Linked DNA regions of Oryzias latipes. The protein of the gene in region 1 binds, or shares a complex with, the protein of each later gene. Links are inferred from orthologs where the notes say so. Each region holds a gene or a part of one and is shown in the gene's direction. Other genes may lie near its edges.

The links.
Region 2: the proteins of thoc1 (region 1) and thoc7 are in contact, whole or in part, in a cryo-EM structure (PDB 7APK), measured with the Homo sapiens proteins. The link is inferred for Oryzias latipes from reciprocal best matches to the Homo sapiens genes THOC1 and THOC7. Residues at the interface, in NP_005122.2 of Homo sapiens: Leu10, Arg14, Glu46, Gln53, Arg56, Glu60, Ile63, Ile64, Asp99, Asp102, Cys103, Leu104, Pro105, Arg146, Gln151; in NP_079351.2 of Homo sapiens: Tyr47, Gln51, Leu54, Ser55, Ser58, Gln59, Phe62, Gly65, Lys66, Leu69, Val70, Met73, Arg76, Glu77, Asn80, Ile84, Ile88.
Region 3: the proteins of thoc1 (region 1) and thoc6 are in contact, whole or in part, in a cryo-EM structure (PDB 7APK), measured with the Homo sapiens proteins. The link is inferred for Oryzias latipes from reciprocal best matches to the Homo sapiens genes THOC1 and THOC6. Residues at the interface, in NP_005122.2 of Homo sapiens: Ser227, Pro229, Ile230, Asp231, Tyr232, Leu234, Arg236, Val270, Ser273, Tyr274, Asp309, Leu312; in NP_001334633.1 of Homo sapiens: Leu57, Ser58, Ser59, Glu60, Pro312, Glu313, Lys315, Thr330, Asn331, Gly333, Tyr334, Ala336.
Region 4: thoc1 (region 1) and thoc3 share a complex: the UniProt entries of both Homo sapiens proteins name them as parts of the transcription/export (TREX) complex. The link is inferred for Oryzias latipes from reciprocal best matches to the Homo sapiens genes THOC1 and THOC3.

The regions. Positions count from the first base shown.
Region 1 is NC_019875.2:28,356,263-28,360,565, forward strand, and holds the start of thoc1 (THO complex subunit 1), read left to right. Parts: upstream 1-1,490; 5' UTR 1,491-1,526; coding exon 1,527-1,574; intron 1,575-1,781; coding exon 1,782-1,855; intron 1,856-1,928; coding exon 1,929-1,989; intron 1,990-2,065; coding exon 2,066-2,135; intron 2,136-2,405; coding exon 2,406-2,524; intron 2,525-2,604; coding exon 2,605-2,653; intron 2,654-2,731; coding exon 2,732-2,827; intron 2,828-2,932; coding exon 2,933-3,015; intron 3,016-3,092; coding exon 3,093-3,166; intron 3,167-3,269; coding exon 3,270-3,378; intron 3,379-3,438; coding exon 3,439-3,573; intron 3,574-3,787; coding exon 3,788-3,888; intron 3,889-3,978; coding exon 3,979-4,045; intron 4,046-4,181; coding exon 4,182-4,232; intron 4,233-4,303. UniProt on the Homo sapiens protein: Component of the THO subcomplex of the TREX complex which is thought to couple mRNA transcription, processing and nuclear export, and which specifically associates with spliced mRNA and not with unspliced pre-mRNA.
Region 2 is NC_019863.2:16,703,375-16,707,013, forward strand, and holds thoc7 (THO complex subunit 7 homolog), read left to right. Parts: upstream 1-1,188; 5' UTR 1,189-1,208; coding exon 1,209-1,296; intron 1,297-1,520; coding exon 1,521-1,641; intron 1,642-2,067; coding exon 2,068-2,195; intron 2,196-2,287; coding exon 2,288-2,374; intron 2,375-2,468; coding exon 2,469-2,526; intron 2,527-2,615; coding exon 2,616-2,682; intron 2,683-2,785; coding exon 2,786-2,855; exon of another isoform or gene 2,856-2,932; coding exon 2,933-2,994; 3' UTR 2,995-3,090; downstream 3,091-3,639. Other genes in the region: interferon-induced GTP-binding protein Mx, read right to left, coding at 3,401-3,625. UniProt on the Homo sapiens protein: Component of the THO subcomplex of the TREX complex which is thought to couple mRNA transcription, processing and nuclear export, and which specifically associates with spliced mRNA and not with unspliced pre-mRNA.
Region 3 is NC_019866.2:289,616-293,680, reverse strand, and holds the start of thoc6 (THO complex subunit 6 homolog), read left to right. Parts: upstream 1-1,237; 5' UTR 1,238-1,252; coding exon 1,253-1,390; intron 1,391-2,171; coding exon 2,172-2,263; intron 2,264-2,340; coding exon 2,341-2,405; intron 2,406-2,508; coding exon 2,509-2,612; intron 2,613-2,682; coding exon 2,683-2,720; intron 2,721-4,065. UniProt on the Homo sapiens protein: Component of the THO subcomplex of the TREX complex which is thought to couple mRNA transcription, processing and nuclear export, and which specifically associates with spliced mRNA and not with unspliced pre-mRNA.
Region 4 is NC_019868.2:29,382,753-29,386,485, reverse strand, and holds thoc3 (THO complex subunit 3), read left to right. Parts: upstream 1-1,229; 5' UTR 1,230-1,264; coding exon 1,265-1,444; intron 1,445-1,965; coding exon 1,966-2,122; intron 2,123-2,196; coding exon 2,197-2,401; intron 2,402-2,478; coding exon 2,479-2,640; intron 2,641-2,706; coding exon 2,707-2,807; intron 2,808-2,891; coding exon 2,892-3,055; 3' UTR 3,056-3,195; downstream 3,196-3,733. UniProt on the Homo sapiens protein: Component of the THO subcomplex of the TREX complex which is thought to couple mRNA transcription, processing and nuclear export, and which specifically associates with spliced mRNA and not with unspliced pre-mRNA.

The DNA.
Region 1 (4,303 bases):
CTGACGGATATTGTTCTCTTATCTACAACAATTTCTTGTCTTCAACCATTTTGACCATCTGTCCAATTGGGCTCCATGAATGGAATGAACTTAGCTGGAAGTAAGCTGGTCCTGCAGGGAAAAACCTGCTGCAGTTACCTTTACATCCATACAAGCATGAAAAAATTAACCTGTTTGATCCTGCAAGACACAAATTATATTTGTATTTTACTGTTGCAATTCTTTTCTTTGGAAATGAAGTCTGCAGTCGACACAAATTATAGGTCTTGTCCTGTGAAACCCACTTTACAAAGTGCAAAGTTAAATGATTGCCATCACACTGTAATGGGCCAGTGCTTCTAATGTGCAATGTGACGTTGTTCAACAGTAGATTTCATCAAAGCATTCCAGCCCTGCAGCACTGTACTCTGTAATGTACGCCCACAACATGCAGAAATGTTCCCCAGTGCAGACAGACATACATAGACCACACTAATCGAACACCGTGACCTCTCCAAAACCAGTGCTATGTAAGTATGAATGACACTGAGCTTTTTCCTAGTGCACAGGTCTAACTAAATAAAAAAATTGTAACTGTACAATTCAGTTTAAAAATGGATTTAATGTTTCAGCAATGCAATTGAATTAAAATTTACTTTATTAAAATAACAATTGTTAAAGTTTTATTTCAGCTTAGAAGAGAAAGAATACACAAATGATTACAAATTTCTAAAATATTTGATTTATCCCACCATTATTCAGTGACACCGGTCACCAGCAGATGAAACGTAGCTTTGTTTCAAACTGGATGAAGGGTTCAGTAGTTGAAAGAACAGTGTGCAACACTGCCCCCGTGAGGTCAAATGTGGAAGTGAGGCAGCTTCCCCCAATCTCACTCTGAGGTCAAATTATGAGAATTATCGAACACACGCGGATCTTTGGCTCATTGTCGCAACTTTATAGCACGTGTTAAGACGGTATGATAAAGTTTTATTCAAAAACATGTTTCAAACAGCAGCACAATTTGGTGGTTTTAGGGCAAAAAAACACATCAGTGTAATTTCTAAATCCCTTGTTAGAAAACTAACAAAGATGTATTCCTCAAAAGATAGAAACAAATGCGAACTACATTTTTAACATTTATTCTGAACTTTATGTATTAAAAATACAATTTAAAATTGATCATTATCTGTAAGCAAAAAAAAAAGCTTTAAAAAGTTCACAATGACGTTTTTTTTCAAATATGATTTTTTTTTAAACACATGAATTAAAGAAAGTGAAAAATTACAAATGTGGAGATTGGCAAACCTGTACAAATGTGGTATTTACGTCGCCCTAAGTATTAATTTTAGGAAACCGTCTAAAGTTGTCATCAATTATGTATGTAAATATTTAATAAATGTTTTTTCCGTTTGCATTATATATTGTATTTATGTCTACATTTTATTTTGTAATTTTTGTAAAATAATTTTTAAAAAAATAACGGGAGGGAGCGGTCAGAAAGACCGGAAGTACTTCTAGGTGCACTTCCTGTTGCAGCAGTAAAGATGTCTCCGTCCTTGTTTAATTTTGTCGATGTTAAAGACAAATTTACGGTGAGAGTTTGCAGGATGAGTTTTAATCATTAGGCATGCAAACACATAAATATATATACGGTGGATGTGATCAGAACGGTGATAACTTAAGTAGTTTTTTTAAATTAATTTTCTGTTTTGTTTTTCTACATTAGCTGTTAGCATAATGCTAACGTATTGAAAAGAGAGACGTTTTCTTTCGTATTATTCTCACATTTTCGTCCTCAGGTTGCTGCCAGACACGCCCTAACGGGTAAAACCTGCAAACCTTTGGTCACATCGTTTAACCAGATCCCTGGGAAGTAAGTCTACATCACTTCGACTTGTTATCAATTGTAATTTTTACCTATAACGAATCATTGACGTGTGTTTCAGTGAAACGGAAAAGAAAACAACTCTTGATCAGGCTTTGAGGGGCGTTCTTGGAGATCAGATTGTAAGCTGTTTCTTTAAAATTATCCAATGTTCTGCATTTGTACGCAAAGCTTAAAGGCTGATCGTTTCTTCTGTAGGTTGAGCAGAAGGCCAGCTGTGATGACTACCTGTCTCTCATCTACTTGAGCATCGATGCGGTCACAGAAGGTGTGATGCTAATGCAGAAAGTTGAACCGTGTCTTTTATTTAAATACAAATGAACAGGCCCTTTTTTTTTTAGCTGTTATTATTTTGACTTTAATATCTTGTTCATGTTTATATAGCAGAAATAGTCCATTTTAGCCACTCTTGTTTCGGAACTGTTGTGTTTCCGGGACGTTTACGGTACTCTATTTCAAAAGAAGTTAGTCTTAAAATCAAAACAGTGTAAAGTCTCGTCTTCAACCTTTTTTCTTCGGTGTTTTCTTGTTTTTGCAGGAATCTGCTCCGCTACAACGCCCTTCGTCCTGCTGGGAGACGTACTAGACTGCCTTCCACTCGATCTGTGCGACAAAATATTCTCTTTTGTCGAAGAGAACGTCTCCACTTGGAAATCTGTAAATAACTTACCCCCCCAAATGTGAAATATTGGTCTATCTGTCATGTAATATTAAATAGTATTTTTCCTTTTTTCCAGAACTCCTTCTACAGTGCAGGAAAAAACTATTTATTGAGGATGTGTAACGGTAAAATCTCCTCCATGTCTAATGTTATTCATCATTTCAAATTTGAGCAGTGAGTGACGAACTTTTCGGACCCTTTAGATCTTTTGAGGAGACTCTCCAAATCTCAGAACACGGTATTCTGCGGGCGAATCCAGCTGTTTCTTGCGCGCCTCTTCCCTCTGTCAGAAAAGTCAGGTGAGGACCCCAGCAGGGGGTTTGTTGTTCAGTTGTTGGGTGTTGACATCAAAGATGACATCTTAGATTGGAATTTTTTGTTTGTTTGTTTTTTTTCCCATCTAGGTCTTAACCTGCAGAGCCAGTTTAATTTGGAAAATGTAACAGTCTTCAACAAAAATGAACTAGAAAGCACTCTTGGCCAAAAGGTGGATTTTCTATACCTGAGGATTGATTCCAACAGTTTGGGTTGACTGATGACGGTTTTTTTTTCATGTTTTTCCAGAGCACAAATGAAAAGGAAGAAGGCATGGAGGTGGAAGAAGGAGAAATGGGGGAGGAGGATGCTCCTGCTCAGAGGTTTGTAGTAAAATGTTACCGATCCTCGTACAAACTTCTGATTTGCTCTTGACACCAAATGCTCCTCGGATTGAAAAGCTGTTCATCAAAATGTCGATTTCAGCTCCATTCCCATTGATTACAACTTGTACCGAAAGTTTTGGACGCTGCAGGACTACTTCAGGAATCCTGTGCAGTGCTATGACAAGTTTCTGTGGATGACGTTCCTGAAGGTAAAGTTCCTGAACTTCAGACGTATGCATGTGGCGAACCATAGCTAACCTCCTGGTCAGTTCTCAGATGAGACTCTAGCTGTGTTCAAGAGCTACAAGCTGGACGACATGCAGGCCTCCAAGAGGAAGCTGGATGAGCTGAGAGGATCTGATGGAGAACATGTTTACTTTGCCAAATTCCTCACCAGTGAGAAGGTGGGAAACTTTGTCTTTTATCAGCATACGTTTCTGTTAGAAGTCATTTTTAAAAGTATTAGATGTTTGTGGGGTCATGGGTCTGTTACCAGAGGGGGGAAAGGGTGGGCTTGTCTATGTTTTTAAGCCGCATAATGCAGGAGAAGCACTTTTCATGAGTAAATTGTGATCTGGATCTGACTGCTGACTGTTGTTCCTCTCCTCCTTCTTTCAGCTGATGGACTTGCAGCTCAGCGACAGTAATTTCAGACGCCACATCCTGCTGCAGTACCTCATCCTCTTCCAGTACCTGAAGGGCCAGGTCAAATTCAAAAGGTTCAACCTGAGCACAAATGTAACTCGACGTTGAAAAATCTGCATCGTCATGTTGGGGAAATAGAATCCTTTTTCATCTTTATCCTGCAGCTCCAGCTGTGTCCTTAATGACGACCAGACCACCTGGATCGAAGAGACGACTAAACTGGTTTATCAGGTCAGTTGAGGAGGAAAAATGGGGAAATCTTTTTATATTTATGAACTTTATAATTTATAGTTTTGAATGTAAACTGTTGAGGTCTTGAAAAGTCAAAGAAAAGGGGATGATGGAAGCCTTTTCTTTGGTTTTGTAGCTGCTGAAAGAAATCCCTCCTGATGGAGACAAGTTTGCCAGCATGGTGGAAGTGAGTCCACATCATATCCAACCGGTCAAGGTTTTGGGTCTCTGTACATTATTCTAACTTATATTTGTGTT
Region 2 (3,639 bases), on another chromosome or scaffold:
TAAATCTAGGCATGAATATGTTAACCTCTGATTTCTAATTGGCAAACTGCTGAAAGTTTGTACTGTTTTCCTGTAAATCTAATATACGCGTGAACCTTTGTTAAATAACAAAACTCTATTTGCCCACACGGCTGGTGTTCTGGTGAGAAATAGAGCACATTAAGTTTCAAACAAGTTTCATTGTAATTTTCTAAGGTGTAGGAACAAACATGAAATCAGACCTGAATTGATCTGTCAGAAAAAAAACGAGGAAGTGGTGACCAAGAAAATATGTTGGCCAAATGAAAACCTGTTTAAATCTATAGTTGAAGCAGGTATTGTACCTATAACCGTACCAGTAACATTACTATTTATGAATTATTATAAATGGTGAAATTAAAGCTAGATAGAAATCTTTGTCCTCAATAGCCACTTAGTAGCTAAAGGTTCTTATAGAACAGAGGTCTGCAACCTGAGGCTCCGGAGTTACATGCAGCTCCTTTATGATTCCATTGTGGCTCTTTGGTTTTGAAAAAAAAACGCTAACGATTTGAGTTACTAATAATGTTTTGGGGTTGTTTTTTTTTTTTTTTAATTTATTTATTAAACTTTCTTTTATTTGGATTCTGCTCCAATGTTGTCATGTTAATATATGACTATAAAAGTAGAAAAGAACGAATATGCAGCAAAGTCTGACTGATAGAAAAGTCTATGTTTGACCTGACTTTCTTACATGTTTTATTCAAGTGAGTCTGTTGGAGGATTTAATTTGACATGAGGTTTATTTCGTTTGAAAGGAACCTATATATGCTGCTGTCAAAAGTAAAGGAAGTTAATATTTTAATAGAAAGAAAATGATAAAACTTTCATAATTCAATTATTTTAATATCTAAATGCTACATGGTAAAAATGAATGGTTTAATGGTAAAACAAAATATGTAATGTGCCATTCTCGATTGATAATTCAGCTTGCAATTTAAGCATTCAATCTAAAAAATGCATTTTAGAATTTAAAATTCAATGTGTAATGCTACAATGTAAGCTGACATTTTTAAAAGCAAAATGTTAAATAAAACAAAATCAATTGTATTCTAAACTGTCATTGGTTTTTAGTCCAATAATATTCTGCAATATAATAAAAGTTCAATTTTGCTGTTGAGTCTAAAAAGCACAAAAATGTGGGAAAAAAATTGCCACATTGAATGTCCACCAATAGGGGGCAGTAGAAAATGAAACCGCTGATTTTAACCTGGAAAAAGAATCTTGCTCTACCGGAAATAGTATTGCTCATTGCAAACATGGGGGCCGTAACAGATGGTAATTTGGTGGTTACTTCGTTTAATATAAAGTTTTATTAAAAATAAATAAAGTGTTTATGTGTTAAGTTATTGTATACAATAGCTTATTTCTAGAATGTAGCAGTGTTTACGCAATCAGTTGGGAGAACTGTGCAGCTAATTTATTGCCCTGCAGTGCTAGCTCAGATTAGCAGGTTGCAATCTAGCCTATAGTTTATCTTGTCTCTTTCGTTTCTGTTAAAGATGAAGTCATTCGGAAACGTCTTCTTATTGATGGCGACGGAGCCGGAGATGACCGCCGGATCAACCTGCTGCTTAAAAGCTTCACTAAATGGTGCAACTCGCCCGGGACTCCGGAGGAAGGGTCAGTGCTGAATGAATCTGAGTCTGAGCTGACGCATCAGAAGATTTACTTTCCAGATTTTAATGTGATTTAGCATTTACGAACAACTCTTCTTGCGAAAGAAAAGTCACATTAGTTAGTTCTTACGTTGTGTGTACAGGCAATTCCAAGCTAGTTTATCAAACTCCATAGAAGGTTAACGGGTCTCAGTTGCATGCAGTTATACTTACCCAAGGAGAAGAGTAACTGTCTTCTCTACAATCTATGGCAAGCAGAGTGTGACACACAGCACAATGTTTCAACTCTGACCATGCATTTCAAAAGGCTGTTTCTATACATTTCCATGATGTGTTTTTATATACCCGAAGAGTAGAATGGTGTCTTCCTTGTTAAATATGCAACAAAAAATCTCACTTTAATTCCTTGTGGTCTTGTGTTTGCGTGTAGATTCACACAGTACCAGCGGATGTTGGGCACTCTGGCTCAGTGTGAGTTTTCCATGGGAAAGACGTTGATGGTTTATGACATGAATCTTAGAGAAATGGAAAACTATGAGAAGATCTATTCAAATATAGGTGAGGTTTTATTGCTCTCGTCTGGAAGCATTTCTGTTTACAATATTAGATTTCATCTATATACCCCCCCCCCCACCCTCCCCCCATTGCAGAACAAAACATCACATCTGCACATGAGAAGATTGCAGAATGCAAAAAAGATATTCAGAGGGCAAAGAGGATACGAAAAAATCGCCAAGGCAAGGATATTTTGATATGGATTGCATATTTTATTTATTGTCCTTTTTCAATAACATCCTTGGAGTATTATAAATATGTTTGTATTTTTTCCAGAATATGATGCATTAGCCAAGGTAATCCAGCAGCATCCAGATAGGCATGAAACACTCAAGTAAGTGGCTCCGTTAATTCAGATTTTCGATTGCTTGTAAACAGCGTACAACAGTTTTGCTTCATTTTTATTTATTTATTTTCTTTCAGGCAGCTAGAGGCGCTTGACAAAGAGCTCCAACAACTGTCCCACATCAAAGAGAATGTGGATGCAAAGGTATATCCAAACAGAATTTATGCAGCTTCTGTGTATTTCGCTGATGATTTGATTTATTTTAAAGTTGTTGTTTTTTTCTATCAAATTTACTGTTCCACCATAGTTGGAGTTGAGGAAGAAGCAGTTCCACGTTCTTCTTACCACCATTCAGGAGCTACAACAGACACTTGAGAGTGAGCACTTTATTCTTAATGCCAACTGATTTTAAAATTGTTTCAAAAAGTTAAACTCAAAATTTGTCTTCTTTTAGATGATGAGAAGTCAGATATTGAAGATGCCAGTCAAGAGAGCCCTGCAGGGAACAGTGAATAACAGTGGAACAGAATGAAATGTTCTTAAATGAGTTTGGGTTTGTGAGACAGAATGCTTTTCGTATGTATTTTTGAATAAAATTCTCTTGATTCTGTCGCTCTGTCTGGTTTTCCCTTTTATTGTTTCAAATAAAAATAAAAAAATCAAAGTTCACAGACTGATAATAATTTCCCTCTATATATATGCCCAAATAAAACAATGAACATAAAAACATGCTCCACACTCGAGGTGATTATAACAATATATAAAAGGAAAACATCTGTGTGCCCATATAATGACTTTTGCTGCTGTAAGATAATCATTCCTGTTAGAAACAGCAGATTCTACTGGACTACCCAAACACAACAACTGAACATTTACACTAACATGTAATTTGGAGATGCAGAAAACAGATCCTTCAAAGTTTTTAGAACTCTACTAGGTATGCACGGGCCTGCAAAAGGCGCTTAAGGCGATTCTGCAAAGTAGCCCTCTTACTGCCGATGTCAAAGTCCTCCTTCAGCAGGAAATCCAAGTTCTCCTTGTCCTGAATCATCTGCAGCATCTCTCTCTGGAGCTGGCTGGCTGATTGTTGCAGCATTTCATAACGGATCACCAGGGGGATTTGATCAGCTAGACGCATGCCAGCAATCTGCAGGATAATGT
Region 3 (4,065 bases), on another chromosome or scaffold:
TGTTGTGTGTTGTTGTGTTCATGTTGTTTGTGTTGGTTTGTGGTGTTGATGTTGTGTGTTTGCAGTGTTGATGTTGTTGTGTGTTTGTTGTGTTGATGTTGTTGTGTGTTTGTGGTGTTGATGTTGTGTTTCTGTGGTGTTGTGTGTTTGTTGTGTTGATGTTGTTGTGGGTTTGTGGTGTTGATGTTGTGTTTCTGTGGTGTTGTGTGTTTGTTGTGTTGATGTTGTTGTGGGTTTGTGGTATTGGTGTTGTGTGTTTGCAGTGTTGATGTTGTTGTGTGTTTGTGGTGTTGATGTTGTGTTTCTGTGGTTTTGTTGTGTGTTTGTTGTGTTGATGTTGTTGTGGGTTTGTGGTATTGGTGTTGTGTGTTTGCAGTGTTGATGTTGTTGTGTGTTTGTTGTGTTGATGTTGTTGTGTATTTGTGGTGTTGATGTTGTGTTTCTGTGGTGTTGTTGTGTGTTTGTTGTGTTGATGTTGTTGTGTGTTTGTTGTGTTGATGTTGTTGTGTGTTTGTGGTGTTGATGTTGTGTTTCTGTGGTGTTGTTGTGTGTTTGTTGTGTTGATGTTGTTGTGGGTTTGTGGTATTGGTGTTGTGTGTTTGCAGTGTTGATGTTGTGTTTCTGTGGTGTTGTTGTGTGTTTGTGGTGTTGTGCTTTTTGATGTGGAGTTGGTGGAGGAGGACAGGTGGTTAGTGAGGTGCCCCCCCAGGAACCTGTGGACCTTCTCCACAGCAGCATTTATGTCTTTTCTATGAGACGCTTAATGTGTGCAGAGAAGTGGGTCAGGGTTTGAGACGGGTAAAAAGGCTTTTTTGTATTTGTAGCCTTTGTTGGTGTTGAAGAAAAAAATAAAAGAAAGCAGACATACTTTGTGGAGTCCGTGTGAACTTCCTAACCAATGCTTTCAATCCCAATATTTGAAACAGTTTAAAGCTCAGGTTCTGATCTTCTGCTGCAGCAGAACCGTTTGTGGAGTACTGAGATTTTGCGGCTCTGACTCGGTTTTGTCGGTAAGAAACTGGATCAAATGGATCTGTCAGAGGTTGCAGGTTCAGCTGTTGAATCAATAAAATCCTTCTAAGTACACACACTCACGCACACACACTCACGCACACCCACACTCACGCACACACCCACCCACACACACACTCACACACACACACACGCACACAGCAGCTGATTAGAAAAAGCTCAACTGTTCCTGCTGAGCCATCAGGTCAGAAATCTTTGTCACACCACTACAACTCCCAGCATGCCGTGCGTTCCTGTGACGTCATATTCTCGAGCCAGAGGTTTTCGCGCCTTGTGCGCCGCTAGGTTTATTGTCTGGAAGTTCAGTGTTGTTCGGTTCTGGGGGTTCCAGGTCGGCGGCAGGATGGGACCGGTCGAGGTGAGTTACCCGAACACGGACTCGGTTCGCGCGCACAGAATCCCGGTGTCACTTTTATCGAACCGAGCCTGAAGTCCGTCCACGGAGGAGGAGACTCAGACAGACGGCTTCATCATCCGAACCCCGCTCAGGTTCCGTTTCCGCTGGCGAATAAACCGTAAAGGAATACGGAGCCACAGAACCACAAAGTCCAATACCTGATCCAGAACCTTCATTCTGAACAGAACATCAGTAAAAACATTTGGTAGAAAAACCGCAGCGACTTCAGCCAAACGCAGCAAACTGATATTAATGGAGGCTTTATTTATGACACATCCCCTGGGGGGGAGGGGGGGGGGGTGTTACATCATGCTTCACGGTACACGCGTCCCGGTAAAGCGCTAATTAACTGGAGAGAAATTCAGGTTCGAGTCCCACTCAGGCTTCCTCGTCCATAGTATAACATGTTTATAAAGCTCCATATGGCTGTGATGGTCATGAACATCATAACCAACAATAATCCACCGACAGTCACCTTAGAACGAGCTGAATGACCAGACATGCAATCTAATGAATACATTTGTACATCAAATAACTCGGCTGATATTAGCGCTTTACCGTCTTTGTGGACCAGAAACCAGGATGTAAACATTTTACGCTAAAACTCAGTGACGGCTGGCCGGACCGCACTTCACCAGACCACGGTCTGGTTCCGATTCAATGTGACTGAGAAAAGAACCAAAGTTCTGGATGAGTAGCTGCTGTTCTGGATGTTCTAACCGGACTCTGGTTCCGCCCCCAGCTGCTCCACATGTCCGTCTTCTCTCAGAGCTTCTCTCCCTGCGGACGCTTCCTGGCGGCCGGGAACAACTACGGGGAGATCGGCCTGTTCAGGTGAGCGAAACGAGCGCCGCCGTGCACGGGCGGGCGGGCGCGCACGGCGGCGCTCTCAGCTGTGTCTCCGTCTCCAGTTTGTCAGCAGCTCTCAGCCCAGATGCCGGTGCCGCCAGCCTCAAACCGGTCCTGACATTCACAGGTGAGTCCGTCCGGCTGGACCGGGTCCAGGAGAAGGTTCTTCCGGTGATCGTGGTCCGGGTCCGGCAGAAGGTTCTAGTTGAACGTTGGGTCTCGTCCTGCAGCTCACGAGGGTCCAGTCTTCAGCCTTCTGTCGGCGGACGGCGTCCTGCTGAGTGCTGGAAACGGCGAGGTCAGCGCCTGGAGCTGGACCGAGCTCAGCAAGAAGGTGAGGCTCCTCGGAACCAGAACCCCAGTCCTCCTGGACCTCCAGGTGACCTCCTGCCCTTTGTCCTCAGAGCGTAAAGCCCCTGTGGAGCAAGAGACCCACTTACAGGTGAGAACACGCACACACAGACACACACAGACACACAAAGAGACGCACACACAGACGCACACGAAGAGACGCACACACAGACACACACAGACACACACAGAGACGCACACACACATAGACACACACACACAGACGCACACAAAGAGACGCACACACAGACGCACACACACAGACGCACACACACAGACGCACACAAAGAGACGCACACACAGACGCACACACACAGACGCACACAAAGAGACGCACACACAGACGCACACACAGACGCACACACAGACGCACACACAGACGCACACAGAGACGCACACAGAGACGCACACAGAGACGCACACAGAGACGCACACAGAGACGCACACACAGACGCACACACAGACGCACACACAGACGCACACACACAGACGCACCCACACAGACGCACACAAAGAGACGCACACAAAGAGACGCACACACAGACGCACACACAGACGCACACACACAGACGCACACACAGACGCACACAGAGACGCACACAGAGACGCACACAGAGACGCACACAGAGACGCACACAGAGACGCACCCACACAGACGCACCCACACAGACGCACCCACACAGACGCACACACACAGACGCACACACAGACGCACCCACACAGACGCACACACACAGACGCACACAGAGACGCACCCACACAGACGCACCCACACAGAGACGCACCCACACAGACGCACACACAGACGCACACACAGAGACGCACACACAGAGACGCACACACAGAGACGCACACACAGAGACGCACACAGAGACGCACACAGAGACGCACACAGAGACGCACACAGAGACGCACACACACAGACGCACACACAGACGCACACACAGACACACAGACGCACACACACAGACGCACACACACAGACGCGCACACAGACGCACACACAGACGCACACACAGACGCACACACACACAGACGCACACACACACAGACGCACACACACAGACGCACACACACAGACGCACACACACAGACGCACACACACAGACGCACACATAGACGCACACACAGACGCGCACACACAGACGCACACACACAGATGCACACACAGAGACGCACACCCAGACGCACACCCAGACGCACACACAGACGCACATACACAGACGCACATACAGACGCGCACACACAGACGCGCACACACAGACGCGCACACACAGACGCGCACACACAGACGCGCACACACAGACGCGCACACACAGACGCACACATAGACGCACACATAGACGCACACACAGACCCACACACAGACGCACACACACAGACGCACACACACAGACGCACACCCAGACGCACACCCAGACGCACACACACAGACG
Region 4 (3,733 bases), on another chromosome or scaffold:
CTCCAACAGTTCAGTCTGGGATGTCCGTAACTATGGCAACAAAAACCTGGAACAAAAATGCTGGTGTGTTTCTGACTGAAACGTAGCAAAAGCCAAAACGTTTGACCGTAGATTCAAACACGATCCTGAAGTCAGGACAGGAAGTTCGGCTCTTACTGAGATCTGGGAAACGACCGAGTTAGAGGCACAGAAATATGCAAATAGATCCACATTTTTTGGGTGGAATGACACACAGCTCCCATTTTGCATGAATGTTGTCTACATTTTCTGCTGAATTTGAGCAAACATGGTCCTGCTAATGTTTCACAAGAGTCGGCTCCATTATGGCTAACGATCGACCTTCATGCAGACGTGAGGGACGATTGTCTCACGTCAGTCACCATGAGTTTCCATGAGGTTCCAGACCCAAACCAGACGAGAAGAATTTGACCCTAGAAGCTGCTGGAAAACCTCAGTCAGAGTGAGATCACCTGTGCAGGTAAAACCCTGCAGCTTTGACCCGCCCCCCCCCCCCCCCCCCCCCCCCCCCCCCCCCCTCTGATGGGGGAATTGAACCCTCACACTGATTTTCTGCATCCAGTTTCCATGTTTTTAAACCGGAATTTTCACACCTGAAATAAACTGCAGTTCAGATCAAACCAAACAGTCTTTGTCTTTTTCATTGGTGAATTATTAGCAGAAGTAAGTAATGAAGTCACTTTTTAAAACACGTCTACATTTTACAGATTATTTTACGGTCTGCCTTATTTGTTTGTACTAAATAAAAGCACATATCATATGAAGTATTAGTTATTTTTGACCTGATGATGTCAGCACCACCTTTGCAATTTTCTTTCATCTCTGGAATCTAAAATCAGGGAAAAGAAAAATCCTGTCAGTGACACAAAAAGTGTTTTATTTGAAGAATACTGTCATTTCTTTGTGACACTTTAGTTCCAAAATGCTCCAAAAATATGAGAATATGTCTATGTTTAATGCCTGTAAAGATAAGATTAATTATCTTAAATAATAAATATTTTATCTTTATTTATTTATTATCAATGGGGAAATTATCTGGATCATCTGGTTTTTCTATTTTCAAAAGTCTTTTCCCATAATTCCAGTTGATCCAAGAATTTCCCAAAAAGTAACAATAGTTCAAAGATCTGTCTTCAGTAACGCGTCAACTCACTGGTCGATGAGTAAACTGCACGCGCGGTCCTCCGGCCAGCAGGGGGCCCTCGCGCTCTCCTCTAAAAACCATACGTCACACAGTGGGACCAAGATGGCGTCGCAGTACTATCAGGAGATGCAGGAGAGCTTCAGAAATAACAGCAAAAGTCGGGAGTTTCCGGCTCATTCGGCGAAAGTTCACTCGGTGGCGTGGAGCTGCGACGGCCGGAGGCTGGCGTCCGGGTCTTTCGACAAAACCGCGAGCGTTTTCGTCCTGGAAAAGGACCGCTTGGTGAGAAACCGGCTCGTTTTCTGCTAGCATGCTAGCTTTAGCACAAAGACAGACGCGCGTGCCAAACTCCTTGGAAGGTTATTTAAAAACAGAGAAGTGATGGATTCAGAGGAGAAGGCGGTGTTTTGTCACTGTGGATCGCCCTTAAAAAGTCAAAATAAAACTAAAGTAATAATAAAAACTATTAAAAAAAAAGAAGCAGCTGATGTTTCCAGCTGGGAGTTACTTGAAGGGGAAAATATTCACCTCAAGTCATGAAATGTTCCGTCAGCTTCTTTAATCCATCATCTTAGTTGATGCACATCTGAGGTTCTGAAGCTAGTGAGGTTCTGGGTTTGAATCCTGACTCTGAGTTTGCATCAGGAAGCTGAAGTCTTCCAACTTTCATGTTTCTGTGTTGGACAAAGACTTCAGCGGTGGAGGAGGAAGACCCACTGCAGCATAAATGTTAACTCATACCGTTTTAGAACGGTACTAAACGTTTAATGGCCACCAACCACTGAAGTGCGTCTTCTCCCCAGGTCAAGGACAACAACTACAGGGGTCACGGCGACAGCGTGGATCAGCTGTGCTGGCATCCCAACAACCCGGACCTGTTTGTTACGGCGTCCGGAGACAAAACCATCCGCATCTGGGACGTCCGCACCACCAAGTGCATCGCCACCGTAAACACAAAGGGTAACCGGGACGGATCTGAAGACCCGGAACGATGTCGAGGAACGTTTTAACGTCTGAACTGACTTTGTTTCCAGGTGAAAACATCAACATCTGCTGGAGTCCAGACGGCCAGACCATCGCCGTCGGGAACAAGGACGACGTGGTGACCTTCATCGACGCAAAGACGCACCGCTCCAGGGCGGAGGAGCAGTTCAAGTTCGAGGTGAACGAGATCTCCTGGAACAACGACAACGACATGTTCTTCCTGACCAACGGCAACGGCTGCATCAACATCCTGAGGTCAGAGCGCCACTGTCGCATGCCGACCCGCGCCCACCGGTCACATTGAAATAAAAACAGGTTCTGGTGCTGCGCAGTTACCCGGAGCTGAAGCCCATCCAGTCCATCAACGCTCACCCGTCCAACTGCATCTGCATCAAGTTCGACCCCACGGGGAAGTACTTCGCCACGGGAAGCGCCGACGCGCTGGTCAGCCTGTGGGACGTGGAGGAGCTGGTGTGCGTGCGCTGCTTCTCCAGGTGGGTTGAGCCGCCGAGGGTCCGGCGTTTGCTGCGAGCTTTGTTCGAGTCTCTGCTCTGCTGCAGGCTGGACTGGCCGGTGAGGACGCTGAGCTTCAGCCACGACGGCAAGATGTTGGCTTCAGCGTCGGAGGATCACTTCATCGACATCGCGGAGGTGGAAACGGGTCAGTAAACCTGCAGCCGCACAGGCGGTGAAGATCCCGCCCACTCGGCTGTCACTCAAAGCCCATCTCTCCTCCACCCTACAGGGGAGAAGCTGTGGGAGGTGCAGTGTGACTCCCCCACCTTCACCGTCGCCTGGCACCCAAAGAGACCCCTGCTGGCCTACGCCTGCGACGACAAGGAGGGCAAGTACGACAACAACCGCGAGGCGGGGACGGTCAAGCTCTTTGGCCTTCCCAACGACTCCTAAGGGGGGCTGCGGGCGCTCTGCAGTAACGTCCCGTCTCCAGCAGAGGGAGCTCCTCACTCACCCCCTTTTATTTTGTACTGTACAGCTGTAAAATACTTTTTTATAATAAAATCATTTTTAACCTGCAGAAAAACTTAAAACTGTTTCTGATTTTACATTGAGTTTAACTTATGCTTGAACTGAGCTGCAACTATCGGAATAAATATTTTAGTATTTGACTAAAATGATAAATTATAGAAATGTGTATCGGAGTAAGATGCTGGAGAAAATACTATAGATAGAAAAACAGTTCCTCCTGTGCTGGGACACTTCAGTTATACGTGTGGGTTGAATTTCACGGATTTGGTCCTTTATTTTGACCATAATTAACCCTTGTGCTATCTTAGATGACCCCCCCTCCCATTGACATGTTCTCCCTACCATGACAAAGGTGGATAAAGGTGGAAAGATTTCATGTAATCCATGGACACCAGTGAAGATCACAAATCATTGAAGAAAAAAGATTCAGAGCACTGTCGGTGGGTCTAGATCAGTGTTTTTCAACCTTTTCTGAGCCACGGCACACTTTAACCTTAAAAAAAATCCCGCGGCACACCAGCATCCAAAAATTTTAAAAAAGAAGGATAAACTCATAGTCTGTATTGATCTACAGCCCCTCCACAATCTCACATGCATTTT